Alligator mississippiensis: one gene and its partner. The protein of the gene in region 1 interacts with the protein of each later gene in a pairwise test. Links are inferred from orthologs where the notes say so. Each region holds a gene or a part of one and is shown in the gene's direction. Other genes may lie near its edges.

Region 1 (7,979 bases):
CTGGCTGCACACAGGGCATACAGGGGCAGGGTGGGTGGCGGTGATGCTGTGAGCGGGGGCTATGATGAATTTTGGGGTGGCTGTAGCCCATTCTGTAACCCCCCCCTCCCAGCACCGCTGCCACCTACCCCTCCCCCATCTTTCCTGAGCACAACCTGGTCCAGCCCCCTCTCCCCACTCCCACCACTGGGAAGAGCCCAAAGTGGGCAGCCCGCCATCATCCTGTGCACAAATACGATGAGCATATGCCCCCCATGCCTCCCTTGCAGTGTGCACAGCACGGAGAAACATTTCCCCCCCTCCCTGAATGAGCCACCCATGGCTCCGTCCTGTTCCTTGCCCCGCCTGGGCAGTGTCTGCCCCAGCCCCAGCCCCAGCCCCTCCCTCATCATGGGGGGGGGCCTCAATCTGTTCTCCCCATGCCTCCTCCATCCCCCATGCCCCTTACCCCCCACACACTTACCAGCCAGACACTGCTCTTCAAGCTGCCAGGCTGCATATCAGCAATCGGATCAGTACCAGCCATTATGGCTAGTTAATAATCGACCATCGGTACTGGCCAAAAAATCTTTATCAGTGCACCCCTACTAATTCTACTTCATTCTTTTTGAGATATGGAGACCAAAACTACACACAGTATTCAAGATGTGGGCACACCATGGATTTGCATAACGGCATGATAACATTTTGTTTTCAATTCCCTTAACGATGCCCAAAACTTCATTGGCTTTTTTTGGTTGCCACTGCACATTGAGCTAGGTCAGAACCCAGTATTATGTAGGTATAGTTGAAGCTGTTTTTCCCTAGGTGTATTTTCCTTTCAAAATTAATCTGCCATTTTTTTGCCCACTCAGTCTGCTTGGTAAGATGTTTCTGCAGCTCCTCTTGATCAGTTTGGGACTTGACCACCCAGAATAATTTATCATCTGCAAACTTGGAGATTTCACTCTGCATCCGAATTTCCAAGTCATTGATGAAAATGTTGAACAATACTGGGTCCAGCACAGATCCCTGCGGGATCCCATTCTCAACCTCCCTCCATCCTGAAAAGTAACTGTTTAGCTCTACCCTTTGTTTCTTGCTCTCAGTCTGCAAAAGAACCTTCCCTTCAATCCTGTCACAATGCAGTTTTTTTAAAAGCCTTTGTTGAAAGTTTTGTGAAAGTCCAAATATATTATGTCAACTGGATCTCCCTTGACCACGTGCTTGTTAACACCCTGCACCAGATTTGTGAAGCAGGATTTCTCTTTACAAAAACAGTGCTGGCTCTTCCCTAGCAGATCTTATTCATTCATATGACTGCTGAATTTATTTATTATTGATTCTACCAACTTGTCAGGGATGAAAGTGAGACTCACTGGTCTGTAAGTTCCCAGGTCACCTCTGAAGCCCTTTTTGAAAATGGGCATTTTGTTGGCAACCCACCAGTCCTCTGGCACAGAGTCTGTTTTGTTATGATAAGTTACTGATAGGTTATTGCCAGCCATTCTGAAATTTCACCCTTGAGTTCCTTCAGAACTCTGGGGTGAATGCCATCCGGTCCTCATGACTTATTAGTATTTCATTGGATTTATTCTAAAACTTCCTCTGTTGTTATTTCAGTGTGGTCCAGCTCTTTAGGCTCAATGATTAGAAGGCACTGATCTGGCATGGAAATTTCCACAGTATCTTCTGCAGCAAACATCAACGCAACAATTTTTTTTAGCTTCTCTCCTATGGCTTTATTATCTGAGTGCACCTTTTACACCTTGGTCATCTAATAGTCCCACCAATTATCTAGCTGGCTTCCTGCTTCTGATGTATTTGAAAAAGTTATTATGATGAACTTTAACATTTTTGCTAGATGTTCCTCAAATTCTTTTTTGGCCTTCCTTATTTTGCTTTTATACTTGATCTGCCAGGGCTTGTGATCTTTCCTGTTTTCCTTACTTGGGCATGTTTTCTATTCTTTAAAGGATGCCCGTTTGCCTCGAATGGCTTCCTTGACTCTGCTATTAAAGCATGCAGAGGTTTTATTGGTGTGCATGTTACCCTTTCTGATTTGTGGTACACACTTTTCCTGAGCCTCTAATACGGTATTTTTAAATACCTTTCAAGCTTCCTGCAAGCTTTTTACATTTTTGACTGCTCCTTTAAATTTCTAACTTCCTCATTTTTGTGTAATTTCCCTTCCTAAAGTTGTATATTGGTGTGGTGGACTTCTTTGGCTTACTCCTTCCTGCTAGAATGTTGAACACGATTATGTTATGATTGCTTTTACAGCATGGCTAACCAACAAATACCTCTTGAACTAGGCCCTGTGTGTTACTCAGGATTAGGTCTAGACTTGCATCTCCTCTTGTGGGTTCCAAGATGAGTTGTTGTAGAAAGCAGTCATTTATCACATCCAAAAATTGTATATCCACGTCATGTCCTGATGAGGTGTTTACCCAGTCTATGTGAGGATAGTTGAAGCCTCCCATTATTATCGCTAGTCCTATTTTAGCAGTCTCTTTAATCTCCCTAAGCATTTCATAATTATTTAAACCTGATCAGGTGGTTGGTAGTACAATCCAAGTACTAAATACTTTGTATTCAATTATTGGATTTCTACCCACAGGTATTCTATAGTTGTTTTCCTTTCAGGTAAGATTTGTACGCTCTTACTAGCTATATTATCCTTAACATATATTGCCACTCATCCACCTGCATGTCTTACTCTGTTATTTCTATATAGTTTGTAACCTGTTAGAACAGTATCCCACTGATTATCATCCTTCCTCCAAGTCTCTGGGATGCCTATTATGTCAGCTACCATTTAATACTAGGTATTATAGTTCACCCATCTTATTTTTTAGGCTTCTGGCATTAGTGTAGAAACATTTATAAATGTCCTTGCACAGCTGCCTGCAACTGTTCGCACTGAGCAATGGATTAGCTCAGCAAGCGGCCGATTAACTCAGCTGGTTAGTGCATGGTGCTAATAATGCCAAGGTTGCTGGTCTGATATCTGTTTAAGACACAACACCTTTTCTGCCTCAGGCAGGGGGCTGGACTGGATGACCTCTTAAGGTCCCTTCCAGGCCTACTTCTCTACAACTTCTATTTGGAACTCGATGTTCTGACTTATCTTCACTATTATAGTTATACTTCTTACTCCCTCACTATCCTCTTCAAAACAGTAGACTCCAAATTAACATTCCACTTTTGTTTTGCATCAGCCCAACCTGTGTGCTCTGTGTCACTACAAAATGTCTAATGCAGGCACACTATGTTAGTGTAAACTGCTGTCTCAACTGGCACAATCAGCAGTGTGCCTTAACTGAGGTAGATCTATGATGAGCATACTTTGGAGCAGTTACACTGTTGGCTAATAACCCTAGCACAGATGGACAATGAAGTCATCTAGGCATAACAATTAGTAAGTTATTTCTTAGGAATCTGGCAACAATAGAACCATTAGCCAGTAGCAAGTATCAAGGCCAGATTCTGAGGGCAAAGTCTGATGATTATGCAAAACAAAGGAGTTTCCCTTGGCACTTTCCCTCAAATTCCTTGGAGAGAATTTACTGAGGGAGGTTGTGCTTTGATAAGAGTGGCTTAAAGAAAAGAAAGAAAACCAAAGATCTGGTATTTAAGTTGTGAGGTCCTTGATGTAGGGGCAAGATCTTTTGGGTCAAATACTGTGGAGTGCCGCTGGCCAGCAAAATAATAGGGAACACTTTGAGTGGATTTAGGATTCTGCAGATCAAGATTGTCACATAGGACTGGCAAAGCAGGAGGAATCTTACTCTGTGTGACTATGCATCGGGACTGAGAAGCATCAGTAGATGTCAGGTCTGAAATAGAAAATCAGGTGGCATTAGCATCATTTCAAGAAACAAAGTGATCTTACTGGGGGCTGAGGTTTGAAATAGTTGAGTCATGTCTCATATAGAGTACAACAGGAATACCTTACTTGCAGTATTGTGGGCTTGGCTGTGGGTTGTTTAAAAAAACAAACAAACAACCAACAAACATTGAGAGGACTGGGAAAGTCTGAGTCAGATGCTCTTGCAGCTGGCTCATACATGGAGGGGGCGGGGGAAAAGGATAGATGGGACATGACTCAGGAGAACTGTAAAGTTGCTGCGTTGGTGGCTAGAAAAGTCACCCATAGGCTGCGGACTGAGGAGTGCCACCCGGGCCATGGCCCGACCAACTTTTAGCATGTTAATTTAGCTAGCTACGCAGTTAAAAAAATAGCTATACAGTTTTAATTGGAATGACAATTGTGCATCTGTGGGTTATATAAGTCATGGGCGACTGGTGTCACCTTAGCTGGGGGGGGAGGGGGCACGTGCCCCCCCCCACAACCAGGGGTTCCCCTGCAGGCAATCTTGTGGACTGGGGGGGGAGGAGTCCCCCCATGGCAAAACTCACTGACCGGGAAGTAGCTGCAGGGCTCCCAGAAGCAGCCACGGCGCTACAGCGAGTGCTCCTGCTCTCCCACTAGTGCTTGCAGGGTGGGCACTGGCGCTCCCGCCTGCCCATCGCTTAAGCGGGGAGCACAGCCTGTCAGGGGGTGCAGCAGCGCTCTCAGGGGGTGCACATGCACTCCCAATGCGTCGCCACGGATAAAAATTAACGTGATACAAGTTGGCCGTGCCAGGCCCAGGTAGCCCACCCCGTTCCACGGCCTACGAAGTCGCCAGCCAGCAGGAGTGGCAGAGGGGAAGCATTGAGGACTAGGCGGATACAAGGGAAAAGCAGGCATGGGATCAAGGGGGAGGAGAGAGAAGCAGTGACTGACCCAGGAACGGATGGGCATATGCAGGGCGAGTCACAATGGGGCGGCTCTGGTAAAACACAGCATCTGGGGCTGGGCAAGGAAAGAAGAGAGGCTACAAGACGTTCAGTTTCCAGGCCCTGAAGAGAAGAGAAGAGAAGAAGAGAAGAGCGGACGGGAGGGCGCCTCCTTCTCCTCGGGAGGAGTCGAGGGCGGGGCTGGGGGCGCAGCCTGGAGGGATGACCGCCGCCAGCCAGCTACGGCTTCTCCGCGCCCCCCGCCCGCCCCGTTACCTCATTGCCACATTCCCCGGTGAGTGAGCTCAGCTGCCCGCGCAGCCTCGCGCTCCTTTTATGGGCAAACAGCGCGGGCTGGGCGAGGCCTTCTCGCCGCCTGCGAGGAAGTGATCGGGCTGCTCCGCTCCCCACCCGGCCACATCCTCCCCTTCCCTCCCCTCGCAGCGCAGACGCGGGCCCGGGCAGGGAGCCGAGCCGAGTCGAGCCGCGGCGGACAGGAGCTGGTCCCCGCGGGCGGGGGCTCTGAGGCGTCGGCGCGGAGCGGAGGTGAGCCCCCCCCGCCCGGCCCCGCATCCCGTGAGGCGAGCTCGGGCCCGGGAAGCGGCTCCTCCTTTCTGTCCCGGAGCCCCCCGCGCCTGACCCGCTCCCACACGCGTGGCAGCGTGACTCCGGGCCTGCCTGGCCCCCTCCCCTCCGCGGGCCGGGCGCTGGCCTGCAGCGGGTGCGCGGAAGGGTTTGTGGCTGTTGTCGAGACTTTCTTCTCTTTTGCCAGCGAAGCTATTTATTTTTTGCAGGAGTGACCCGCGAAAAGTGGGGGGTGAAGTGAATGTGGCGCTGCTTCCAGCTGATCCTTTCACTTCGCCTTTGTAGGGGCACTTCCCCTGTGCTGCTTTGCACTTGGAGGAAGCGGGTGACTGCATGCAGAGCCGAGAGTTAAATCGCGAAATAGGTTACTGGATGGTGTGTCGCCCTTGCCTGACTTAAAGCTGAGATGCCCTTCCCTTCGTGGAAGGAAAAAAGTAACTAGGAGGGCACGGGGGACCTCCTCCCCGTGCGAGCATGGGGGAGCGTGGAGACCGGCTTGCGAAGTTCAGGTGTTTGCAAGGTTTCAAGTCCAAGGTTTTATTGTACTTGAGGATTGGTTTGTTCACAAATGTGAGCGCCTTCCTTAAACTGGGTTGCTTCTGTGTATGAGATGCATCTGTGGCCAGCAGGACAGACAGCAGTTTGTGTTCCAGGTGTGTGGAGAAGACATTGCGGGTGGGAAGGTAGCCTTTGCCTGGGGCTTTGGTGATGCCTTCCTCTACACTTCCGCTGGGCTTCCTGAATATTGCTGCTAATAGCAGGGCAGCACGATGATTTAGGATCGGGCCTCTGCTGCTGACACAACCTTTTTGTCCGTTTATATGCATGGATAGCAGACCTGCCTGAACTGGATTGTGTGTTCAGGGGAGCTGCAGCTCGGAATTGAGTACCAGTAGAACTGGACAAGGGGGCAAAACAGCAAGCAGCTGTATTGCAAGTTATTGGGGAAAGCTGTCCCTTGGCTGCCCCATTTTTCTTTTTTAACTTTCCTCTGACAAATAGGGTGGTGGCTGAACAGACGGGAAAGATCACGTTAAGTAACATTTAGGACAGGCAAAGGCAGCTGCTGTGAATAGAGAGAAGCTTTGATCTAAGTAGAACGTGTAGGGAAAGGAGCTGCTTGGGTATATGGGAGAACGGGACCGCTGCAGGTAATTAATCCAAGTGTCTGCATGAAGCAGCCAATGTCCCAGAATCCTTTCTGTGGAGACTGTCCCCATGATGGTGTGCAAGTACAATCTGGCAGTGACTGACTCATGGCCTGTAAGTTTCTACCTGGCAAGATAAGATTGTAATGGTAATGGGTCTTTCCTTAACCTAGCAAAAGCAAAATAAGCTCCAGTGACTTGCCTAGACTGTAGATGAGATTGAGATCTCTATCCATCACTTAAGATCTATATTAATCAATTAAGGTCTCTGTAGGATACGTCTGCTCTTCAGTGCTCTCAAGTCTGCCATTGAAGATCCTGTCCTGCGCATTTTCTCCCTTTTCATATAAGCACAACCGAGAGAAATGAGGCAGCTCGGTCAGGGGATACTTGTTTCCAGGATCGGCTTATGTAGAGGGAGTGTGGGAGGGTAGAGTATAATTTTTTCCCCCTCTCTTTTCAACAGCAGACTCCAAAGTGTTGGAAAAGCAGTGCCCTTAGTACTCTGAATCTTTCAGAAAGAGGATGTTTGCTGGAGTTAGAATACATACATACGTCTGAAAGAATCATTGGGTGGGGTCTGCGATTTGTTTGCTTATACAGGAGATTTGCACTAGCTGACCATAATATTCATTCAGATATATGGAGGTATTCTGCAGGACTCTGAGAAACTTTAATAGTGCCAATGTCTGATACTGGGTGAAATGGGTCTTGGGTTTTAGTAACTAATGACTGTAGAAAGAAGCAATTATCCAGATAGAAATAGTTCCATCACTGGAGGAGAATGGGTGAGGATGAGGGAATGAGACACATTTTTGATAGAGGTGCACTGATATATCAGTTCATATCATATAGGCACTGATAAAAGGAAAATTGACAGTCGGCTTTTTTCGACTGATGTGGCCAATTAATGTTGCCGATTTAAATACTGCATGCATGTGCACAGCCACAGTATGCATATGGCCAGGAGTGCAGCCTGGCAATTTGGAGCACAGTGTCTGACTGGTAAGTCTGTTGGAAGGGGGTTGGGGGGAGTGGGGCTGGTGCAGGTACTGCCCAGCCAGGACAGCTACAGTCACCCTAAAATTCACCATAGCTTCCCAGTGGTAACTCCTTCTCCCAGTGCTGCTGCCGCTCAGCCCAGACACAGTCCCAGCCCAACCCCCCTGCTGGGAAGAGCCCAGCACCGCCCCGGCCTCAGCCTGCCTTTGCCCTGTGCACAGATCCGGTGGGCATGTGCCCCCTGTGCCTCCTCCAGGGGTGTGCACAGCGGTGGGAGCTGGCCTCCACACCCCCTGGACAAGCTGCTCACGGCTCCGTCCTGCACCCTGCCCCTTCCCTTCCCTTGCCTCAGCCCCATTCCCTCCCTCACCACAGGGGGCCTCAATCTGCCCTTCCCCTAATAGACTTACCAGTTGGATGCTGCTCTCCACACTGCCTGGCTTGCATATCGGCAATCAGATCAATATCAGCAGATATGGC
Region 2 (7,341 bases), on another chromosome or scaffold:
TGGGACTTGTGGGGTGGGAAAATGCTGCAGTCAATAGAGACCTCAATGCAAGTTCCCCTGGAACCAAAATAGCAGGAAGGATGGAATTTAAGGCAGGCACTGGGGTGCATAAGGGCTCTGTATGGATTGTCTTTCCTTGACGCATCTCCCTGAGAACAGGGGTAGGGCATATAATTCATTTCACTGGGTGGCAACCTCTGATCCCTCCCTATCCTTCCTGCCCCATGAGGAATAGACATTTTCCCGCCATGCCCCAAAGAATTTGCTGTGAATTACTTTGCTGTTAGCTGGTAGGAGGATTCCCTCAAATAGGATAACGGGGTTGGGCTCTTCAGCTGTATTCAGAGGTGGGCCTAAGCGACAACGTTCATGTTTAGATCTAGATCCAGTTCTGCACTCCCCCGAAGTTTGGGAGGCTGGAGGAAGGTACTTATCTGCCTGTCAGTTTCATATAACATTTTGATCCTAGCATCCACCATATCAGCTCATTAACAGCAATTCTTGGACCAGAGGTGTTACCTGTCTGCCCTACACTAACCACCCAGTGTGAATTCTGCCACTGCTTAAGTCATTAAAAAAAATACTGTTTGCTTAAGCAGGCTTGGTTCTAGTTCTGAGCAGCAGCGATTTTCTTCCTACCTGAATAAGCAGACCTTTCCATGTAGTCAGTATCTAACACTAGTGCTGGGCTAGTGATTTAAGTGGGGAGGGACAGGACAGATATAGGTGTCCTACCTGAACGGTGTCATCAGTCATCAGGTCTGTGCAGCCAACAGAATAAGGCCCCTTCCCTTCAGGGATCCTGTAAAACTTGGCAGTGCCTTTGGTTCCCATTTCTTCAGCGCTTTAACAGCCAAACCTAAAAAACCACAACAGACCTTGGGAGATTCTTTTCTTCTTTTCAGACCAGCAAACTGATGCAATGGAAAAAAGAACAGGAGAACAAAGATTCAGGATGTTAAGGTTTGGGACCAAGCTACCAATTGGGGTCCAAAGAACCATGCATGAGAATCACAGATGTAAAGCCAGAAGGGACCATACTGTGTGTCATCGAGTAAGACTTCCTCTACAACACAGATCATAGAATTTCAGCAGTGCAGGGTATTGACTGAAGTGCTGAGGACTGGGGGAGATAGCTGCTTTGTACATGTGCTGAGGGGGAGGATGTGAGCTCTGATTTCCTTGGAAAATTCAACCTCCTTTGATAATTACAGTCTGCCCACTTCAATCAACTCCCTGTAGTTTTATCCGGATTCTTCACTTCCTGTCCCACGGGGCTGCATAGCACTTGTACGCAGCGTCAGATTGGTAGTTTTAAGATGTCTGTACATTAGAGGGTAAAATGCTTTATACAGAACTAAAGGGCCAGATTCAGACAGAGGTTATATTCGCAAAAGAGTATAAGCTATAGCAGCAGGACCCAGTGGTAGGGCACTGGGGAGGTGAGTGGTTAAGATGGTGGAAAACAGCTAGAGTCTCTCTCTCTTTTGGGAGCAAGCAGGGGTTCATGCAAGACAAAAAGCAGATGGTTCTGGACAGAGCTACAGAGGTTTAGGGTTCAACCATAAATTAAAGCTGCTTTTTGCACTGATGTGGCCTCCCCTGATTATGAGCTGACATATGAGTCTCACAAGGAGCAGGAGGTTGCCTTTGGATGTAGGAGTTCCATCTTTGTTCAAAGCCTGAGAGGAGCATTTTGGAGGGCTCCCCTTCTGGCAGCACAACACCATCCCCTCACACAGCTGTCACGTTTAGTGCAGCTCTTTGTGTCACACAGCTGGGGAGACATGTCACTTTAATCCCATGTACATACATGTGCATGCACACACGTACAATTTATGATTCTATGAAACTGGGGACTCTATTAGCCTCCCCTGCACAGCCCCATCCCAGCTTAGCCCCCATCTCCTTCTGCCTGTCTTTCAGCCGATGCCTCATTCTGATCCCTTTGCTGCCCCACCTTTCAGCTCCTGATATATTCTCTCCACAGCTTCCACCTCTAGATGATCTCTGAATCCCTTCCTTCTGCTCCCCAACCTCCCTTGCTAGTTGCACTGAGATCCCATTGAAGAACTATCCTATTTTCTTTCCACCTTTGCTTTGACATGGAGTAACGTTTTTTATAGCTATCTAGATATATCTATATCTATCTATATATTAGACATATATATGTATGTATGTATACACACATATACATACAGTATATGAAGTATTAAAAGATGAATTGCTTTATTTTAATTCAGAAGCAGAGTATGTATCATAAACCCCTAATAAATATGTAACCTGTGGTCAGTAGCTATGTCACAAACCTCAGCACTTCAACTGCTTAAAAACAGTCTCAAGTTAGTGTTAGGACATGAAGCACTTTCCCTGTTGGATGTATGCAACTGGATGGAGGAAAAGACATAACAAAATTGGCCTGTTTTTTTAAGCTCTGGAGTATTTACAACTTCCTCAACACTGCAGATAAGGCCAAGTGCTCACACGTACCTGTGACCACATACAAACCGCAAGCTTGCTAGTGGCTTGCCTAATGTAGGCTAGAACTTTATCAGCATTTCAGATCACGTTTTGAGTGACCAGGAGGTATATAGAATCTATGTGTCTGCGTGTGACACACATCTCCATAGTTATTTTAAGGGTGGGCCAAGTCAAGCACGCCGTGCTGTCATGACTTGCATTCTAGATCTCAAAATGCTTTCCAGACTCTGATAAACTGAATGTCAGGCTACCACTCTGACAAATCCTTCTTGTTGGATTCTTTATGGTTCTGGTCCCAGTCTAATCATTTCTTCCTCCACAGAAGGAAGTGAAGTAGGTATAAAATACTAACTTCCACTTCTCCTAGCTGTCAGTGATGACACAAGTAACCACACAGGAGACTCATCTCTGTTTTGCTTGTGGGGAAGGCAAGGCACAGGAGTGATCTGTCTGAAGCTCCACAGACTCTGGCAGGGATGGGAATGCAGATCAGCATTCCTGACCTCTGCTCCTGTGCTTGAGTCCAGCCGGCATCATCCCCAGAACAGTGTCACACTCTGTGCTGAAGAGAACCCAGGCATGTGAGGCCTGGCCCTGCAGCTGCTCTTAGGCAGGCATTTGCAGGGATGAGGAGGTCCCGTAAAGGCAGAGCTGGGACATAGAAATGGCATAAAATCCTACTTCTTTTGTTTTACTTCCTGCAGATGAAATATAGCTGAGCCCACTGAAGAATGAAAATGAAATAGCTGAGCACACTGAAACCCATTCTTACCTACTAATTTTGTTTCTCCAGATCTCCTTCTGTCAGTCCAGAATGCAAAAGTAAAGGAAAATTTGAAGGGTTCTTCTATTAATGTTCCTCTTGCTTTCCCAATGTCATGACCTTTGTTAAAGAAAATAACACAAAAGCATGTGAGTAGCTAGTATCCAGGTCTGCTTATTCGTGTTGCCTTTTCAAGGGTGGGGTCAAAATTAGGAGATGACTTGAAAGTATAGTTCAGTTCCCTAAGTCCTTCAGAGCTTGCTTTCTGCAGTCTGTCCCAAGTCAGTCAATTATACTGGCTGGCTCCTGGCGACAGGAATTCCTGATTGCCCAGGAGCCGACCTGAAAACACGTTTTTCACACAGGCGTAATGCCTTTCGGACCGGCCATTACAGTCCTGAGAACTAGATTCTGTCTCCTGTGAGGCACAAACCACTGAGATCAGGCAACTTAATGCTGCTTTGGGATAACCTAGGATAACAAGTCAGGCTTCTGCATACTATTTTGCCTATAGTTTCCCAAGTCTGTCCATAGGTTGTGGCACAGACTTAATTAACTGCAGCCCAGAGCACCAAGTACACTGACTTGTAGGTGACTGCCAGCAATCTGTAGCACAAGAAGGGGACAGTCGTTACACTGGACTGGCCCACACTACACTGGGAATCCCTGCGCGCTGCGGGAAGCTGGGTGCTTTCTAGACACCGTGTGCACCAGCAGTAGCATAACGCAGGATGCTGCTGCTACCCGGGGCACTGGTCCGAGCTTGACATGACTTACTGCCTAGTTCGCTTGCAGCCCCAGCCAAGAAAACGATGATGGCAAAATGAGAGAGAGAGGAAATACACTTTGGTCTTAGCCTAAAAAAAAAGCCCACAAAACCAAGCACCCCAGCCTGCAGCAGGGCAGCCGCGGCAGCGTGCAATGTCAGCCCAGGGTCGAGACACCCTGCCCCAGAAGCCCTCCGCCATCCGAGCAGGGGGAAGCCCCGAGCACATCTCGCGCAGGTTGCAGAGAACCTGCGGGGGAGGCGCCTGCAAGGGGCGGAGAGCGAACCCTACGTCACAGAACGGGGCCGAACAATGCGGAACGGAACGCTCGACCGCACAGTGACGTCACAAAGGGGAGCGGCCAATGAGAACGCAGCCCCGCACCCGGAACTGGAAGCGCTGGGCACAGCCACGTGGCTGGCAGCGGCGGCGGGAGCACTCGGACTCGGACTCGGACGTAGAGCAGCAGCAGCAGCAGGATGGTCCGCAAGCTCAAGTTCCACGAGCAGAAGCTGCTGAAGCGGCTGGACCTGGTGAGCTGGGAGGCGGCGGGCGGCGGCACGGCGGAGCTGCGCGTGCTGCGGCGCTACCGGCTCCCGCGCCGCGAGGACTACACGCGCTACAACCAGCTGAGCCGCGCCGTGCGCACCCTGGCGCGCCGCCTCCGCGACCTGGGCTCCGCGCCGGCCCACGCCGCCTTCCGCGCGCGCTGCACCGCGGCGCTGCTGGGCAAGCTGCAGGCGCTGGGGCTGGTGAGCTCGGCGCGCTCGCTGGAGCAGTGCGACCGGGTCACGGCCTCGTCCTTCTGCCGCCGCCGCCTGCCCTGCGTGCTGCTCCGCCTGCGCATGGCGCCCAACCTGCGCGCCGCCGTCGCCTTCGTGGAGCAGGGCCACGTGCGCGTGGGGCCCGAAGCCGTCACCGACCCCGCCTTCCTCGTGCCCCGCGCGCTCGAGGACTTCATCACCTGGGCGCCCGGCTCCCGCCTGCGCCGCCACCTGCTCGACTACAACCAGGAGCGCGACGACTTCGACGTGCCCGCCTAGGGCCGGATGCGCCGCCAGGACGGGACCCCAGGCTCCGGGGGCAGCGGCTTAGAAACGCCCTCCTCCAGCGACGCCCTGCGTCCTGGCCAGCTGGCAAGGACTGGTGTCTGCGCCCTCCCCAGTCAGGCTGCACCTGCCGATACAGCCTGCAGCTGCTGCCAGGGCAGGGCGTCCCCTTCTGCTGTCATCAGCCTTCACGGACGGGCCTGTTCTCAGAAATCCTTGGACCCGGTTGCATTAACTGTCATCCTCAGCAGTACCCAGACCCCCTCCCTCCGCCCTTTCTCCTATTTAATAAAAAGAAACAAATTGCGTTTCAGGGAAAAGCCTTTTGGTTTCTTTAAAGGCGCAGTCGCACCTGCCTTCTCCAGCCCTGCTGCTGTTTTCCAGCTGAAGGAACTGAGTGGGGCGGCTTGCTGCCCTCGCCTACATCGGGCATCCCCCAGCTCCCCAGAGCGCATCGTGGGGCCCCTGTCTCAGCAGGCCCCATGGCACTCCCCACCGCACCGTGTCAGCAAGCTGGGGGATACCCAGCAGGTCTGCTTCCAGGCTGCGTGTCGCCACCAGCTCTGCATGTTTATGGTCTACTCTCTACCACCCCATCCCTGGGTCCCGTCCAGACACTGAGTAGCGGGACGTGTTCAGTGAGGACAAAGGTCCCTTGCGGACAGACGTTTTGCTGTGTTCCTGTGAGCCTCAGCTGGCGGCTCCTCCACTGAGCTGTCGCCACAGGTGTATGTATACCTGGCATGTGTCACAGATGTCCCGAACATCTGCCTCTTCTGCAACCAGAGGGAGACCCTGACCTATGTCTGCGTGGGATGTGCCCAGCTGCAGCCCCTTTACCGCCTCCTTCAGAGCCTCCTACTACAGTTCTGGCCACGCTGCTCCCTGCACCTTTTTATTTGCACGCTTCCCATCTGCGGCCCCACCAAGTCCTGGGACCTCCTGATCAACCTCCTCCTGGTCCTGGCTAAGCTCACAATTTATCTGACCACGAAGGAGGCTCTAGTGGGGAGGACCCGTGGGGGCTGGGGAGCTGCTTTCTTGTCCCTTGTCTGATCACATCTCCAAGCAGTTGCACTGGGCAGTGGGAGACTTGTAGGTTTTTTTTGGTGGACATTGGCTCATGATCCCTTAAAGTAGCAAATTGCCCTGTGTGGCTGGAGCAGTTTTGTTTTTTTTAGATGAATCCTGTTTGTGCAGTGTTAGTCGGAATGTATCTGTTAGTGTTAGGCGCGGTGTTTCCTGTTACTCTCCTGGGAGGATGGGGACTGTTTACAGTAGTGCAGGCGGTTTTCTGAGCACTCTGTGTCTGTGGGACCGGTGTCTGCAGAGTTGGACGGTAACTTTTCCTGTGTGAGGTTTGAGGATGAATGCTGTGCGCTCTTGGGAAGCTTTGCCCTAAGGCGCTTACATGACCACTGGCAACACCCAGGGCTTGGGAATGACCCAGTTTCCAGAGGGGTAACTGATACTTCAAAGCACTAAGGCCCAGATCCTGCCTAAATGCCAGTGGGGATCCAGCCCTTCAACTGCTATGCCCAAGGTCACAGAAGAAACATCCTTAACTGCCACTGTCTCCTGCCTTCCTTGTGTGCATTACAACATGCAACATGTTTCACACGCACACACGTTGCAGGTCTACAGAGAGCTGGCACCCCTGCGGTGGAACTGGAACTCCAGCTCCTTAATTCAGGGTTGACTGGCAGCGGCGAACATACCAACAGCTAAGGACCGTGGAGGACAAATCCTTTTCAGTCCTCTGCCCGTCTTTAAAACTTGCTTTCTTTTTTTAGCTGGACTCAAAGATGAAAAATAGGGGGACTCTCAAGGAGTTAAAGCTGTTTTTAACTACTTTGCTCCCTCTGATACTGTTTGTGACTAACATCTTCAGACTTTCTGGAAAAGGCTGTTGGAATCTCATGCAGGAGGAAACACATGCTGTGAGGCAAAGTTGTTTATAGCATTACATTCCTGACACAAAACTGAGCGGAAATACTCTCTCTGATCCTTCAGTGAGCAAAAAGGGAGGGTATTGCAAGCTCTTGAAGTTGGCAACCCTTACAAAGAAGTTTTGTAAAATTTTCAGCAGCCTGGAGATAGCTTGATCTTTGTTCAAACCAGAAGAGGAATGCAAGTCATAATCCTGAGAGAATAAGAACTTCACACTTAACTACGTGGGTTAATATTGTTCATTCCTAAAGGCAATAGAAATATTAACAGAAAGCAAAGCTATTCTAGCTAGGCCAGTGAAGTGCGACATTTATTTTTTAATGCAATAACT

What was found.
Region 2: the proteins of ZYX (region 1) and IMP3 interact in binary tests that used the Homo sapiens proteins (3 or more experiments, as listed by UniProt). The link is inferred for Alligator mississippiensis from reciprocal best matches to the Homo sapiens genes ZYX and IMP3.

What each region holds. Positions count from the first base shown.
Region 1 is NC_081827.1:154,143,950-154,151,928, forward strand, and holds the start of ZYX (zyxin), read left to right. Parts: upstream 1-4,972; 5' UTR 4,973-5,059; intron 5,060-5,188; exon of another isoform or gene 5,189-5,310; intron 5,311-7,979. UniProt on the Homo sapiens protein: Adhesion plaque protein. Binds alpha-actinin and the CRP protein. Important for targeting TES and ENA/VASP family members to focal adhesions and for the formation of actin-rich structures.
Region 2 is NC_081824.1:13,427,303-13,434,643, forward strand, and holds the start of IMP3 (U3 small nucleolar ribonucleoprotein protein IMP3), read left to right. Parts: upstream 1-4,331; 5' UTR 4,332-4,490; coding exon 4,491-5,054; 3' UTR 5,055-7,341. Other genes in the region: PLA2G7 (platelet-activating factor acetylhydrolase), read right to left, coding at 736-834. UniProt on the Homo sapiens protein: Component of the 60-80S U3 small nucleolar ribonucleoprotein (U3 snoRNP). Required for the early cleavages during pre-18S ribosomal RNA processing. Part of the small subunit (SSU) processome, first precursor of the small eukaryotic ribosomal subunit.